Linked DNA regions of Neodiprion lecontei. The protein of the gene in region 2 purifies or fractionates together with the protein of the main gene of each other region. This does not show direct contact. Links are inferred from orthologs where the notes say so. Each region holds a gene or a part of one and is shown on either strand. Other genes may lie near its edges.

Region 1 (7,591 bases), on a different chromosome or scaffold from region 2:
AAGCCTTCTGAATTCGTCGCTTTTTCCATAAATTAAATATTTGACATTGAAAAAAAAGTTTACGTAGTCTGTAATAATAATGAAATTGTTAAACAAAAAATTTACGAAACGTGACGTAATTTAAAATAATTAACATTTAACAGAAAGTAAGATAAATTGAGCTGTGTGATCTGAGGACAAACAGAATCAGAGATTATTAACAGACATTTGTATAAAAGTTAAGTTTCAGTTATTAAATTTATACTTATGTACATTTTTAACCAATAATCTTTACACCCTGATCTTATTTATACATATTTACGCTTCATTTAAATTTTTTACTGTCGAATGAATAACCGATGAATGTGATTGTGATTTTAAAAAATTTCTTAACAAATGTCTGAATAAAAAAAAAAACTATAAATTTTATTTGCAAATTATCTCATGGATTTTATTTATTCACTTTTCCATATTTAAAGTGAAATATTAGTTTTTAAGAATAGAATCCTCTGCGGCTGTGTGTGTCTGTGCGTGTGCGATAATTTTTTTATCCAACGATATCTGCAGAACGAATGGATAGATTTGGATGATTTTGGAGTCAATCAACGGAGCTTTTCTTAACTTAGAACTGATTAGATTTTGAATATTATTGGTCATGTAGCTTTCCAGTTATTTGAATAAAAAATTAAAACATTTCTTTTGTCAATGTTTGATGGGCTCGAATGGAAGTTCTTATGATGACCCCATCAAGATCACGCACATTACCCGCTTGATTTTATTTTTCATGACTATTCAGCTACAGAAAGATAAGAACACGAATGAGAGCTACAGTTCGTGTAATTATAGGTATAAGGCAAGATGATGTATGGAGATGGTCAAAATACAAAATACAATTTGATAAGATTGGCGATAATTGATATGGTAAGAAAATCAAATATGGGCGGAACACAACAGGAAAATGACTATGATTTCAAGGTAAATGAGGTAAATTAGATGAAAAAAGACGAATTTTTAAAAGTTTTATTGAAAAATAACCATGTTAATTATAATAATGGTTTTAGAAATAAAAAATTAATAATCTAAGATGCATCTCAAACGGGGAAATTACGTCTTGGAAATGCGAAAATCCGTAAGGCATAGATATTTGTTTAGGCACCAATTTCGGGCTGTTTTCACAACGTAGCATTACAGAAAAAGACTTAAGAGGAGGAAATATAAACAGAACATTTCCGCTGCTTGGTCTCTTTGGTAAAAAATTTGTTTGTATAGGATATTTTCGTTTTGTATTGTAAGAAGGGGTAGTAAAAATTTTCTACCACTGATTCTCGTGAAAAAATAAATAAGGAATATTGTTCTCTGGATTTCATTTTCAGCTGGTCGAAAAGATGGAATATTCAAGCGCGAACTTTTATGTAATTATTGTCATAGTGGCAGTGCCTTGTGAACGCTTATTTGTCTTATACAATTTATCAAATTCATCCGAAATATCTGACAGAGCTTGTTTGGAAATAATATCAAACTTTCAGCAGACTCTGATGGTATTTTTACCGATAACAATAATAAAACCGTCATCTTGTAGCTCCTTCAGTGAATCTTCAAACATCTCACGTGTTATCAGCTGAAATAATAGTTTTCAGTCATATTTTTTTCATTGACAATTGCGATGCCATATTCGATAATTTATTTAAAAATGACGTAATGAATTTACGGACGTTAATTTCTTTGTAGGTATTCCTTTTGAAATTAACACTGTTCGATGTGTCATTTATTTACTTAATAACTTGTTAATGCTAGATTTTTGACGTGCAATTAATCTTCTATGTGATATGAAAATATGTGTCTAATGCCTGCCATACCTAGATATGTGCTGCAATTTGACAACTGTAGCAATTCCCAGGTATAACCGATGTTTAAAATAAAATAAATATGATTACTCACGATCTGAGACGCCTCTTTAATCTCAGTGAAAATCTTTTGGTAATTCAAAGTTGGAATCTTCCCCTTGCTTTCGATCAAGCTACGTATCGCTTGTGTTAGTTCCATTCTTCGTTTCCTAGCAGCTGCTGACAAGCCAGTTGTCAGAATGCCAACATCAATCTTCCCACTCAATGGATCTGTCGCCGACTGCTTTAGAGCCTCGCGATGCAGTCTAAAACAAGAAAAAAAAAAATCCAAGGAATCACGTGATGAAGGGTTGACCATCTTTATCACGTTTGAGTTTCAGCTTCTTTACGCACCTCCAGGCCTCTTCAACATCTTCCACCACAACTAAGCTGCTTAGTCGTATTTTTGCATGTGCTTCCGCTAATCTTATAAGGGATTCCAGTTGCCTTGGATATGCACTGATCTGTCCTCTGCCGCTACCAACTTTTCTCATGTCTACATACGCCTGAACTAATCTTTGCTGAGATTCTTCGCTCATAACTGGATGCACGTGTTCTTTGGCATATGCTATGTAGTCGCGTAAAATGCTCATATCAATAAGATCATCTTCAACCTCAGGTTTGGCTTTGTAATACAGAGAGACCAAATGGCGAGCAAGCCGTTTATCGAATAGTTCGTCTTGAGGGTCAAGCATGAGAAAAATTAGGTCGAATCGAGACATCAGGGTATGAGGCAACATAACATTCTCAATCACCTGTAAGATAAATTTAATAAATTATGTTCAGATGGAATATAATATTGAATTCCCAATGGACAGCACAGGTATGATGTACTATCAGTACCGTTTTATTCTTATTCCATTGGGATTCGCAGGGATTAGCTGCCGCCAAAATGCTGGTTCTTGCATTTAATTGACAAATAATGCCAGCCTTGGCAATACTCAAAGTTTGCTGTTCCATGACCTCGTGCAATACAGATCGCGTAGCATCGTTCATTTTATCAAATTCGTCAATGCAGCATATACCGTTGTCGGCCAAAACCAAAGCTCCTGTTTGCAGTACAAGCTGTCGTGTTTCTGGATCTTTTGTGACGTAGGCAGTTAGACCCACAGCACTGGAACCTTGAAGCATAAACAAAAACATTACTCGTATAAGAATCGAATAAAAACGCTAAATCACCATCGGTGGAAATATTAAAATGACCATAAAGTGAAACGTACCTTTGCCACTGGTATATTGCGATCTTGGTACCAAATTGTAGATGTACTGAAGCAACTGGGATTTACTGGTACCAGGATCTCCGCATAGCAAGATATTTATTTCAGCACGAAAATGATTTCTGCCTGAAGAAGTGTGGGTCTTCTTTGTCCCTCCAAACAGTTGCAATAATATTCCTTTCTTTATATCTTCGTTCTCATAGATACTCGGTGCTATGTTACGCGCCAATCGTTCATAGACATCCTCCTTCTGGGATAACAATTGTAGCAATTCAAGTCTCTCAGGCGGGAATGCATGATCTTTGCCATCCTCTTGATCGTAGAGCCTGAAAGCAATAATGAGAAAATATACTGCAAATATTCTTATCATCAAATTCAAATGTGCATACCTTTTAGAATCCTGCTTTCTGAAGTGAACGACGTCTATATGAGTTTTGTACACGGCGCGAACATTACTCTGTTTGAAGCTAACTTGGAGAGGAATCGCACGATATATTCCTGTAACAGCAACTCGATCTCCTGGTTGAACAGCGTCGACCAGATCATTGTGAGCAAATACAACGATAGTGTGCGGTGTTTGACCAGCAGGCATGTCATCAGGAGATTCTTGAAGTTTGACCATTTGTTTGTCAGAGAAGTGGCTCCTATTGTGAATCAGCCGGAAGCAATGATTAGTATTACAGTGAGTGCACAGAGTTGGTTCAGCAATTCGACCTCGGTCAATTTCTACCAAAGTTGTGAAAGAACAGACTGTACATTTGAAGAAAGCCTCTCGCATTTCTGGTATCAAGTTTGAAGTTCTGCTCACCATCCCTGATATTGTAATCAACTTATCAATATCTTCGGGATTTAAACCGCGCATGTTTTTAGTCTTAGCTGCATTGAATGGTCGGACCTGTATTTGATGGTCCAGTACTGCAGCTGGGTACTTTTCAAAAAACATTTCATTCGCAGCCATGTCTAGAGTGGGTATAACTTCTTGTGGGTAACAAATCAGTTGTCTGTACAATTGCTCATCAAAACTTTCTAAGTGAGCGCAGTTTATGTTCAAGTATGGCTCCTCTAAAGTATGGATTTCGTCAAGTTTTTGGAGGTATAGTGGCTCGGCAAGATTCATGTTCTCTGGTAACTCATCATTTTCAGCTTCAGGGTCAATAAACCGCCTAACAAAACGTTTAAATTGATCCTTGCATCTGTTTACCACGACGTTTGTCCCCCAAATCACGAGCTGCGGACCTGCATTCTCACTCTCAGACGATCCAGGTATGAATGGTTCCTCTGGTATCTGTAACATTGAGAGAAATCTAGTGAATTTGAATTTGGGAGAAAATATTCTGGCAAAGCTCTGACACCAATGGTAACGTGCACATTAAACCGTTAAAATTATAATCGATGTATGTTGAAATGGAATGTCGCGTTTGATACTGTTGATTGTGAAACATATCTGCCAAAGACAGAAAAAATTCAATTAATAAATTATAAACCATAAAGATAGTTATTTACCGGTTCGCCAAGGTTGACCTGCCTGATTCGTTTGTCTGTTCTGATATCCGGTCTCTGTCTAATCGGAGTACCTCTAACGCCACTTCTAGGGGTTCGTATCGATCCCAAGGAGCTAGGTGTCCCGTAATACAAAGGCGAAGACAAATCTATCTCACTCATTCCAACAGCTAAAGGACTGGTCATTTGTACTCCCTGAGTCGGCGATGAGGCAGGTACAGAGGATGTACCTTCGGAAGAAGGGGCAATCGTATCTCGAGTACCATGTGTTCCCCATCTTAGCGGAGTTTCAGCCGTTGGATTATTTTTCTCTCTATTGGGTGTACGACCTACAAAGATAAGAAGCATTCAGAGGTATTTTATTCAATTTCTTTTACATATTGTTAATTAAAATTTCAAGGTGGAACAAAATGCTGGGTAGGCATACAAAGGAAAATTAAGTATTACGGAAGGAAAATAAAACCGACTTGAGTGAGAGTAATAGTGAAGTACCAATATGATGCGACTCGCTTGTGTTATCTTATTCATACAGGTAAACGAGTAAAACAAGGTGAAAACGTTTACTTACCCTGTTTACTCGGTGTACGGTTTTTGCTCGGCGTGCTTTTAACGGATGGAGTGCCACTCGGTGTTGGAGTTTTTCGCTGACGACTTGGTGTTCCATTAGTCGAGGAACTATCAGCGTCTTTCCTATTCGGAGTCTGGGGCCTTTTCATTGGACTTGACATGTTGCTTATGGTAGTGTTACTGGGGTCAATTAAATAGAAATTAACTATTACATCGGATAAAATAGAGAATTATCTCACACTTTCAACGCCGGTAGTAGAATACGAGGCTAGCGACGGCCATACTGGATACCATTTAATTGCGCGGGAAAAGCAAACGTGCAGGATCACGTGTGTGATATCGATAGTCGATTGTATCGAATGCGACGCGGAATATTATGCGAATTTTAATTTTCACCTATTACACGAGTGTACGTAACTGGCATTTAAAACAGAATTTATTTTCAATAATTAGTAGGTACATAAAAATGAATAATTATTACCTTAAGGTGAAAGGTGAAAAGCATAGAAAAAAAGTGTATTCTTCTAAAAACTTATCTAACGTAAGTGTAATTTACTTCACTCAGAAGTAAAACGTATTTTATATGCAGCGCAACAAGAGGCAGGTTTTAGTTACTGATTTCTAATTTTTTATATTTTTTTCTTTTTACACAAGTATCATAGTTTAGTAATTAATAGAAGATACGAGTAATTATGAGATCAAAATGTAATATAGAATATTATATAATTTCGACGCATTATTCAGGCTGACAGACAAAAATAAATTGTGATAGTATTACAGCCTAAAATTTTAATTAATTGAACTGCAGGCAGTACATGTATTGACATTATACATATATATACATATGCATGTGAGTGTGTCTGTATATAAAATATAATTCTAATTAATAAGTTGTCATTGAATGTACGAATGATAGGCAATGCATAAATTTACCATCAAAAGTTTAAGAATTCATTATTTTCATAATAGTATATTGGTGAAAAAATTGAACTGAACCTAGTTCGCTTCAATGTATACACATAGTTATTGTTAATTGTACAGATTTCTATTGACTGTAAATTTAGTCTAAAATTAAAGTTGAAATTACAATTCAGCATGGTAAAATACTATTACAACAACATAGTCACAGATAATATTTAACAATATAAAGTAATCCATTGGTTACGGCGATGAATAGCAGCTTAAGAATATTTTTTCAAGTGAACTCTCAAAAGAGCAAACATGATTGAGATGATTATTCTCTAGTCTCTCAGATACCACAAATGTGAGGGTAGTGCAGAAATCTGTTCTGTCGAAATTAAAACAGTTTTACTGATAAAAAAAAAAAAAAAAAACAAAAAACAAAAAAAACGAATGAAACAATTTAACATGATTAGTCTTGTAACCTATCCTAAAAAAAAGTATATATAAGATATACATACATGAATGTATATATATACTTATACATTTATCACCCGAATCGCAACGATATAACTACCCCGAGAACCATATACTATACTTTCTCTGTATCGCAGCTTTAGTGAAATGGTAACAAAACCAAGGGTTCACTGTATACCAATAACAACAAATACATGTTGTCCAAAGTTATTTTGATTTTCAAATTCACGTAAACATGTTCAAGAAATGAATGAAGTAACGCTGTGTAAACGTTGATCACACTTGAAAAGAAAAAAATAATGATAATAATAATAATAATAATAATAAAATGTTTTCCTTTAATAAGATATACACACTTGGTACAATGCTGCTGTTATGAACGCAAACTTTTCTTGCAACCAGATAAAATATTCAGTCAAAGTATCTTAATTTGTACAAGGGTATATAAATGGTTTTTAAACGAATTTGAGTTATTTAAAAATACATTCATTGAATTAAGTTGGATATTAGGTGGAATCCATCTTTTACTATTTTAATAAATTAAGAAAAAAAATATATCGACTACCCAAATAGTCATACTGTTCACTTTGTACCATTACTCAAACATTGATGTTAAATTGAACACAGAAGAAAACAAGAAACGAGAAAAGAACAGATCTTAATATTAAACACTCTGCATTATTATTCCGCATTCGAAACATGACACATTATTATGCGTGGAAAAGAGTTCCCATTCGAGTAAATACAAAGTTTATGAAACACGAATCGTTGTCAAACGTTCAAACTGTGATCCTTATCATTTTTTTCCCCAGATATCACAAATTTTCAGTCATGAAATTGTCTATTTACAAGAATCATAAGCCGGCCCGCTGGAGGCAAATATTACATAAGTATCAGCTTACTGGCAGCGAAACTTTGCAATTGAATATAACTTTCGATACAAACCATTTCCAACATGCATGTTTACGGCTAGCATGAATGTGCAGCACTTGCTCGATACGTAACATAATTGAGCAAAGAGCAAAAACAACTCTCCGATATTCTTTCCTGTGACAATCGCATGTAATA
Region 2 (8,434 bases):
AGAGTAATATAACTAAAACACTGAAATTTGTGCAACCGATGTCTAAAATATCTTCTGCAATAGGAATTTTGAAACTAAAAAAGTTAACACAATTAACTTGCAATAATCAAGATTCAGACTCTTCTAAATAAAATTGTAATATTGAATCCGATGATTCTAAATTTGAATGACTAGTTCTAATAAAACAATAGTTTCAGCCTAATGTTACCTATAATTTTGCCGAGTTATTTCATTTCGCACATTTGAGAAGTCATATTGTCGATAGAATTGGAATTAATTACACGAATTTTCATAGGAATTTAGATTTTTTATTTCTCAAGGTGCTGAGAATATTTGTTAATTTAAATAAACTATTATTACGAGTAGTTACAGCTGATAGAATTAAGAGATTTCAGAACCGACCACTCCTCTTTCGGCCCGTATATTTTGAATTATCTCTGACCTCCTTGCCCTGTCTCCGTCTTCTCTCTTTCTTTTCCAAAATCCACTCTCTACTTTTCTTTAGTGCCTTTCCGCGTACCTTCATAGTTCGCTCCCTATAATTTTTAAGAAAAAGAAATCGTCAGTATCCCAATACAATTAAATTATTAAATTAATTATTCAACAAAAGAAAAATTAAGGAATCCAAAAGCTATTAACAATTCTATAACTTTGTTTGAATATGGTTTCTGAATTTGGTATAGTATTAGAACTCCCACACACCTTTTTGACGCGTAATTCACTACAGTATTATCATCACCAGTTCCCAATGCCTTAGGAAGAGGCATTGCGCCACCAGTCATCAGAACTAGAAAGAATTTTTTAGCCTTGGTACTGTTTGGAAAATCAACAACTATACCACCAAAGAACCCAGCTTTGGTCGCTTGCGTTGTGACCAACTCAATCTGGTCGCTATTTTCTGGATAAAATTGAAAGACAGCTCTAGCTGTCCTTCCTAATGAAGCGAAAAGGGAGGAAAAGAACTGATACAGTCGTTTGACTGGATTGTGTGAAGTTTTGTCAGCATTGCAAAGCCACTGTAACGCAGATATGCTCACAGCTCCATCAAAGCTGCCAGCTCTAAAAGGCACCCCTTGTCCCATATCACTCAGAATAAGATCACCCTCAACCTCCCGCTCTTTAGCTACGTCTGAAATAACAAGAATACATTTACAATTTGATCCTAAGCGTCTCCAAACATTGGGAATTTTTCATTGTTTATAATTTTCGTCCACATTCACCAAATGAAAATGAACAATTACGACACTAAGTCAAAAAGAACATTATATGACAGTTTTAGAAAATACCCAATGTAATAGTCGAAACATACTCAACATTGCAGGAGATATATCGATACCGATCCACGTGTGGCCTTGGTCTTCTAATACGCTTCCGCTAAGTCCAGATCCACAACCAATGTCAAGAAGAAGGCATGGCTCGTCTTCAGGTAACAACAGCAATTCAATGGCTCGTTCGCACATTTGAACTTGAATATCCATCATCCGAGAACTAAAAATGTAAGTTTTGGAGTCAAACGAGACAAGTTTTGAGCAAATTCGGTATCACCGGATATATTGTCGCAAAAATAGACTCATACTTCTGTGTGTATTTCTGTGCTTCCACTTCATTGTAGAACTGTAAATAACAGAAAACGTAACAATTATTTGAGGTAACCTAGAAGTCATTCAGACGTACGAATAGTAGAAGTGGATGTCTAATCGTACCACTTCAGGCGGTGCCGAATGCTCTGGTCGTCTAGACATGTTCCAATCTGTTGCTTCTTTTCGAGACAAATCAAGTTCCGGAGAATAACGTTATTAATATCATACACCACTTTGACATGACACGTGCTTGGCGAGGTCACGAGGCCGTTCCTTGGCTTGGGCGATTTAGTTATCGAATGCACTGATTGGTCAATTGTCACGTGGTCTTATAAGTTCCGCTCTGCGTTTGTCCATTCATTTGCCCTATGCTGCACCAGAGATTAGTGTATGATAATCTGAGTAATTACTTTTCCGTACTTTATGCGTGCGACTGAAATTTAGCGTAAAAAATAATCATTTGAAAACACGTTGGCGTTCTACAGCGTTGACGGAAGATTTCAAAGACGTTCATCTTGGGGAAATTTTCTCAATCAGAACTTTACGAGTAAGTGGACTTGGCCACAAAAAGCCGTGTTAACGACTCGGTAGCTTCTTTATCGGCGGGAGTCAGTCAACCTTATAATCAATACACAGAACCGTATTAGGGTATCGAACTGTGATTCCCTTGTGTTTTCACGCATTCTAGTATAAGCTCTATGATTCTGTAGTGATTTCCTTTCGCAAAGATTGAAAGTCATACTTTGAAATTGTTTGAAATACTGGAACTTGGTAAAACGCCAGTGAATACCACAGGAGCGCGTCGAGAGCAGAGAGCAGCTGCTGCGCACTGCGCAGTCCCACAGTCGTCGTTCGCGCCTCGCGGTATTCGCAGTTTGCAAACGGATCATGGTGGTGTTTTGACGATTGTAAAATAAAAATTCCTCTTCCATGTGTTTGACGAGGGCATCATGTTTTTGGACAATATTCAAACTGAGTTTTATAACGAAATATTAGGAAACGTAAGTGAATATTTTACGACTGATCTCTGTACAATGACGAGAGGAATGGTTTACGTGTGCCTCTCTCTCGGAGAGGTAATTTTTGAGGTTGCCTAATTGCACGACTAATTAACAATAAAGTATTTTGAAATCTGACCCAATTTTCTAACTGTACTTAATTACTTTGTATCGAATTATTCGATATTTAATCGTGTCTTTCTTTCACTCGTTGTCTTTGAAAATGATGAGAAAATGAGTCGTTAGAACTGATGTAAATACGTAAGTAAACAGTCCCGTTCTTTTCATTATTCCGTTTATCATTTTGTAACTTTTGTTTCCGGTTTTGTGCTCGCTCTTCGACCTTATAATAATTTTTATTAGCTTAAGAGTAGTGTGAATATAAAAAGACGAAAATTCGGAGTGGTAAACCATATGATTTAGGCGCCCTTTTTCTTCCTTGCATACTTATTTACGTGTTGGGTGTTGCCATCTGATTTTTGAATGTTTTCCTTAAGTCACACAGCCTTAAAAAATTTCAGTGTTTTGAAATTTCGATCTTGACAATACTTAACTTGCAACCTTATCACCGAGAGTACCTAATTTTTTCGAAAAACACATTTGATCAACTATTACAGTAGTGTCCGTTTGTTTATGTCGTTGAACCAAATGTTCTCATATAAATTTATTAAAGGATTTTGTTTCCTATAGATAATGCATTTTCCTTGATCTTAGCACTTATTTCTATTTATTTCTTGGTTTATTAATCATTATCCTAAGAACCATTCGTCAACAAAGTCAACTGTGCTAAACCATTGTTTATATACTAACGATTGAATTTTCCTTTGTTTTTAGAGATGCTTATTGTTAGTCAATTTTGACATCGATGCAATATGTGCATGCAAAATATTGCAGTACCTTTTAAAAAATGACAACATTGTATATACACTGGTTCCTGTGCGTGGAATTCAAGACTTAGTTCAAGCATATGAAGAGAACTGTGAAGAGGTAACCATCAAAATCTTTGCTCCTTTGTATAACCAGTAGAACAATACATATTCAAGTTCACGGTCCAGATAATAAAGTAAAAGATTCATTATCACTTATTCCAATGTTTTTTCGTCAGTAAATGTTCTTAGTTTTTGTTCTATTTCTTTATTTCTGTATAATCATGAAGTCGTATATATTCAGTTCTATGTATTTTTTCATCTTGAGGTGTAATTGATGGCACAAACATGAACGAACAAAAACATAGAAACTTTTGCAAGATCTACGCATTGAAATTAAAAAACACAGGAATTAATATTTTCTAAACCTTGGTTTATTATTCACTATGAAACTATTGAAATACATCTAATTTGACAGATCAATAAAGAGAATACTTATAGATGTTTATATTTTATTAATATATTTTACTGTATTAGGTGAAATACGTAATATTAGTAAATTGTGGTGGAACATTGGATATTGTGGAACTTCTACAGCCAGATGAAAGTGTGGTATTTTACATTCTCGACAGTCATAGACCTTACGATTTATGCAACGTCTATTCAGAGAGTCAAGTCAGAATCCTAGGTCAGCCTGACAATGAAGAAAAGATACCAGAATATACCGAGGTCTTTAGAGATAATTCTGTAAGTATCATTTAACCTATATAATAGATTTCTCGTAAACTTATCAAGCTTAATAAAGATTTATCGTACAGATTATATGAAGCTTTTTAAAAATATTTGTTGTTACTTTATTATATAAAATAATTTGTTTGATGGATTTTATAAATACAACATCAATTATGGTAGTTTTGTTGAGAACATTCTGCTAAGAATAGGGGTAACAGGTTGAAGCTGATAGCGGTAATGTAACAGATAATTTTCAGACGGAATTATCATTTCATCTATTGGAATGAAGTAGAACATATTTACTTTGCAATTGCAGTTGCATTATTTACAAAGTGATGATTTTTACTTCATGTTTCATTACATTAACATTACCAACTTCAAACTCATATGGGAGTTGACAGTGCTTGCACTAATAATTGCCCTCTTTTCAATTCTGAACTTGCTTCACTATTCAGTCTGATGAAGAAGAAGAAGACACAGATGAAGATGATTCGAGTGTGGCGGCAGAAAGTAGGCTATCGAAACGTCGGCGATTGAATGAAGAAGAAATTGAAAAACGAAGAAATCGAAGGTTGTGGGATGCGAGTAGAACACAAATTATGTTTAATTACACACAATACAGCTACTATGGTCGATCGGTATGAAATAACAAATAATTTATCTAAATACTTATCTGTAAACATGGCTGTACTAACTAGGGAGTTTCAAAAAACGTAGGCTTTAATGTATGGCTTACCCTTAGAGTGCTGTGATAATCTATGAGTTAGCATGGAAACTCTCACGAGATACGTTGGACGTGGCGTGGTGGGGGATTATAGGAGCTACAGAACAAGCAATTCTTGGAAAAGTTGAATCCAGGGTTAGTGTTTTAGAAACAGGAAATCTCCAGAGTCACGTTTCGAGACTAAGTCATAGAGTTACGGACAGTGAAAAGCAACACGCCACAGCAGTCAAACTTACTTACGACAAGGAGTATCCTTCATAAATTCGTGCATGTTATATACATTTTGTAGTTTCATAAGAATACAGAAGAAATAATTAATAGTGAATATCAAGACTAGTAAATTCCTTAGTAACATTTAACAGCCTTCAGTTGGCTCTGTATCGTCATTGGACAGTTGAAGCCAGTCTAAAACATTCCGTACCAACGGCGGTTTCTCTTCGCTTATGGTCTTTAAGAGGTGAAAATCGCCTTAGGGAACTCCTGGCTGAGATGGGTTTACCTCTGGCACAATCTAAGCAACGATTTTCAGCCATGGATCTCAGCTTACGACACGAGTTTAAACAGATGATTGAAAAATTAGCATCGAAATACAATGTTGACAGCATTGTTGGTGCTAGTTTTACCCTGCAGTACGGATATAGATTTAAATACTGTGCCTCAGACGTGGTATACTCTATGCTGGCCTTACTTGAGTCCACGGTGGGTTTTGATAAGTTTCCATGAACCATATTTCCAACACTTTCAAACTACAAACCGACAAACTTGTTTCTTTGCAGACAAAAGAAAGATTACCACAACACTGCTTTTTAGATGCTTTGGACTGTCTATCTCGCAAGAAGAAAGATGTTGTAGAAAGAGGCATAGAAAAGGCAAAACTAATGCTTAGCAACATTTATAAGACAGCTCAAGGCATCTTAGAAATGAAACAAGTAAAGAATGCAGGTCCATTTCTTTATATTGTTATCCAAGATGGCACGTTAGATACTCGATTATTTGCACATGAGCACGCATTGATCATGTTGGCACAGTTTACACTAAAAGCATACGTAGAAACATCAAGATACAGGAACGCAACTAAGTGGCCACTGATTGCTACTGCACCTTTCAGCGAAGAAGACGGTACTTGCCTCGTTGTTGGTATACCACCACTATGCGAAGATCAACCTAGAAGGTGAGATAACGTTTGCATGTCAATTTTTCGCAAAATGACTCTTCAACAAATCACAAACCGCACAGTCCGCATGCATATTCACACGCAGAATTGCAAACAAAGAAAATTCTCAAAAATTATATATTCAAAGTATATGATTAATTGGCAACTGAATATGTAAAGTAAAAAAAATTTGTGTCTAACGTAATCTTGCATTATGAAAATCCTCGCAACGTAAACTTGTCGCTGTAAAAATGTGAATTACTATCTGACTCATGAATTTAACATTACTAGCCTCTTTGGAAGGGCATTCGAGCAAGCTGCTAAAAATACCAATTCGTATATAGAGGCGGACTACTTCGATACAACAAGTGAGTAATAAAACTTGAAAAACTTTTATTTAATATTTACAAATATTGTTATTTTCATGTTTACCAGTAATAAGACTGAAGATTCAAGAGCGGCCAAAGTTCTTTGATGCATTGACAGCGCTCCTGATTATATAAATAGTTAAGTAGAAATATTAAAATTTAGTTTATAGTTTTTATTGTAGTGGATATCAATCTACCTATACAATTCAGATCACCTGCTCACAGGTGATTAGCAATGTATAACAATGCAACTATGGGTATTATGATCAACATTTCTAAACCCAGACATATTTTAGAACCAGCGACGTAACAAGCTTTAACTTTATTTTAATCGAATCTGTAGTTTAATTTATTTGACATATTAATCTAATTTCACATTACCTATAACTAGATTTCCTTTACAAATTTTAAGCATTCAGGTAATATTTGACAGTTTCAATGTACTGGTCATCAATACACGGATTTGCAGAATATCAAATTTCTTGATTGAATCGTTAATAAGGGACTTCAAAAAGTCTTGTTTTATTTTACGACTTGTTTGACGAATTTTTTCCAACAATTAGGATGCGATCGAACTACTATAAGTTACTGTCACTAATTCGTTTACTTATGAGTCTCACTAATTTTTTGTCAGTTCACCATATGTGAAGTAAACTTTAGTAAAGCAGATTTATTAGCTTTGTATAAAATGGAATGAGAATATTGAATTCGTAAAATATACTCTTGAGTATTTGATTCCGGTGGCTACGCCGTAAACGGGCATCTCTTGTGTGCTTGGGTACAGGAGTCACGTCACTCTGAAGTTTAGCCACGGATGTGTTCGAATGAATAATAAACTCTTTATTGTACATAGAATGATTTTAAGAGTGATACTAGACTTAGCTCTAACGATAATGTAAGCATCAATTTATAACTTAGGGTCATGGTCAACCGTCGAACATTAATATGATAATTTGATACAGACATTACGCAATAAGTAAAAGTGAACCGAATAAATACATGCGTTTTTTAAAAATGAGTTGAAGATATTTGTTGTCAATCCCAACTTAAACGCTGTATACGTTTTTGTTATCACACCTCTGGTTTCTACAGTAAATTGCAAACTCGCAAGTTTCATCAACATCAGCTCATTCACAAACTGTATATTCCAGACCACCTTGAAGTATTCATAAATATTTTATGAATACAACGTGCCCATATTTTGTAACTGGCACATTCTAAAACGCGGAAACTGAAGCATGCAGCTACAATCGATAGTTGAATGCGTTACCCTCAGTGAGAGAACTGCACCATTTAAAATTTTGCTAAGAAGGAATCAGAGTTGTGAACATTACTTTGATAATGCATTACTATATTCATTACACATTACACTGCATAATGTGTAACGGATGTGTGCTGCATTATAAATTTAAAAAAGTAATATGTAATTGATAAGTAACATTACAAATTACAAATGAAAAAAAAAGTAATTTTTATTGGAGAGTATTCAATAGATTTTTTTTTTTGAATGATTTGTTTTTCTATATAAACTTTTCCACCCCCTTACAACTTGTCAAGAGTTGAACTTCGAGAAATACGTAGTGTGGAGTGATGAAGTTGGTTTTCAAGTGATAGCTTTCTCATAGAGAAAACTTTGTCAGCGCAATAAAACAATGAAAATGCAATGTGCAAGTTTCTAAATTGCACGTTTTTCTTCTGCGTGAAGTACTGATCTTTAAACAGAAGAAAATCGAATTTTCCTAGAAGAAACTTTTAGTTAACAAAATAAAATAATGATGAAGCAGTTATTCTATTTACAATAAAATACACTCCATTATAAATTATTTTTTTAAAATTGTAATTATTCACGCATTCATTACACATTATTTTTTGTTTTTGTAATGAGGCACTCATACATTATACATTATTTTTTTTATTTGTAATGGATAACGTATCCCATACACATTGTTCAAAGTAATGAGCAATGCATTACTTTTACACTGCTATTTTCACAACTCTAGAATGAATGCGCCG

Evidence for each region. The genes of interacting proteins can lie anywhere in the genome.
Region 1: the proteins of cell division control protein 45 homolog (region 2) and DNA replication licensing factor MCM4 purify together in Drosophila melanogaster (affinity purification with western blotting; 4 studies listed by BioGRID, with this or other methods). This does not show direct contact. The link is inferred for Neodiprion lecontei from reciprocal best matches to the Drosophila melanogaster genes Cdc45 and dpa.

The regions. Positions count from the first base shown.
Region 1 is NC_060264.1:8,092,455-8,100,045, reverse strand, and holds DNA replication licensing factor MCM4, read right to left. Parts: upstream 5,455-7,591; 5' UTR 5,308-5,454; coding exon 5,148-5,307; intron 4,909-5,147; coding exon 4,583-4,908; intron 4,365-4,582; coding exon 3,469-4,364; intron 3,406-3,468; coding exon 3,083-3,405; intron 2,984-3,082; coding exon 2,706-2,983; intron 2,618-2,705; coding exon 2,217-2,617; intron 2,129-2,216; coding exon 1,918-2,128; intron 1,598-1,917; coding exon 1,502-1,597; 3' UTR 1,016-1,501; downstream 1-1,015. UniProt on the Drosophila melanogaster protein: Acts as a component of the Mcm2-7 complex (Mcm complex) which is the putative replicative helicase essential for 'once per cell cycle' DNA replication initiation and elongation in eukaryotic cells.
Region 2 is NC_060262.1:27,230,740-27,239,173, reverse strand, and holds cell division control protein 45 homolog, read left to right. Parts: upstream 1-2,156; 5' UTR 2,157-2,530; coding exon 2,531-2,581; intron 2,582-3,412; coding exon 3,413-3,565; intron 3,566-3,981; coding exon 3,982-4,191; intron 4,192-4,631; coding exon 4,632-4,814; intron 4,815-4,918; coding exon 4,919-5,148; intron 5,149-5,262; coding exon 5,263-5,599; intron 5,600-5,676; coding exon 5,677-6,071; intron 6,072-6,344; coding exon 6,345-6,421; intron 6,422-6,488; coding exon 6,489-6,556; 3' UTR 6,557-7,439; downstream 7,440-8,434. Other genes in the region: probable 18S rRNA (guanine-N(7))-methyltransferase, read right to left, coding at 392-536, 703-1,129, 1,310-1,488, 1,577-1,614, 1,704-1,742.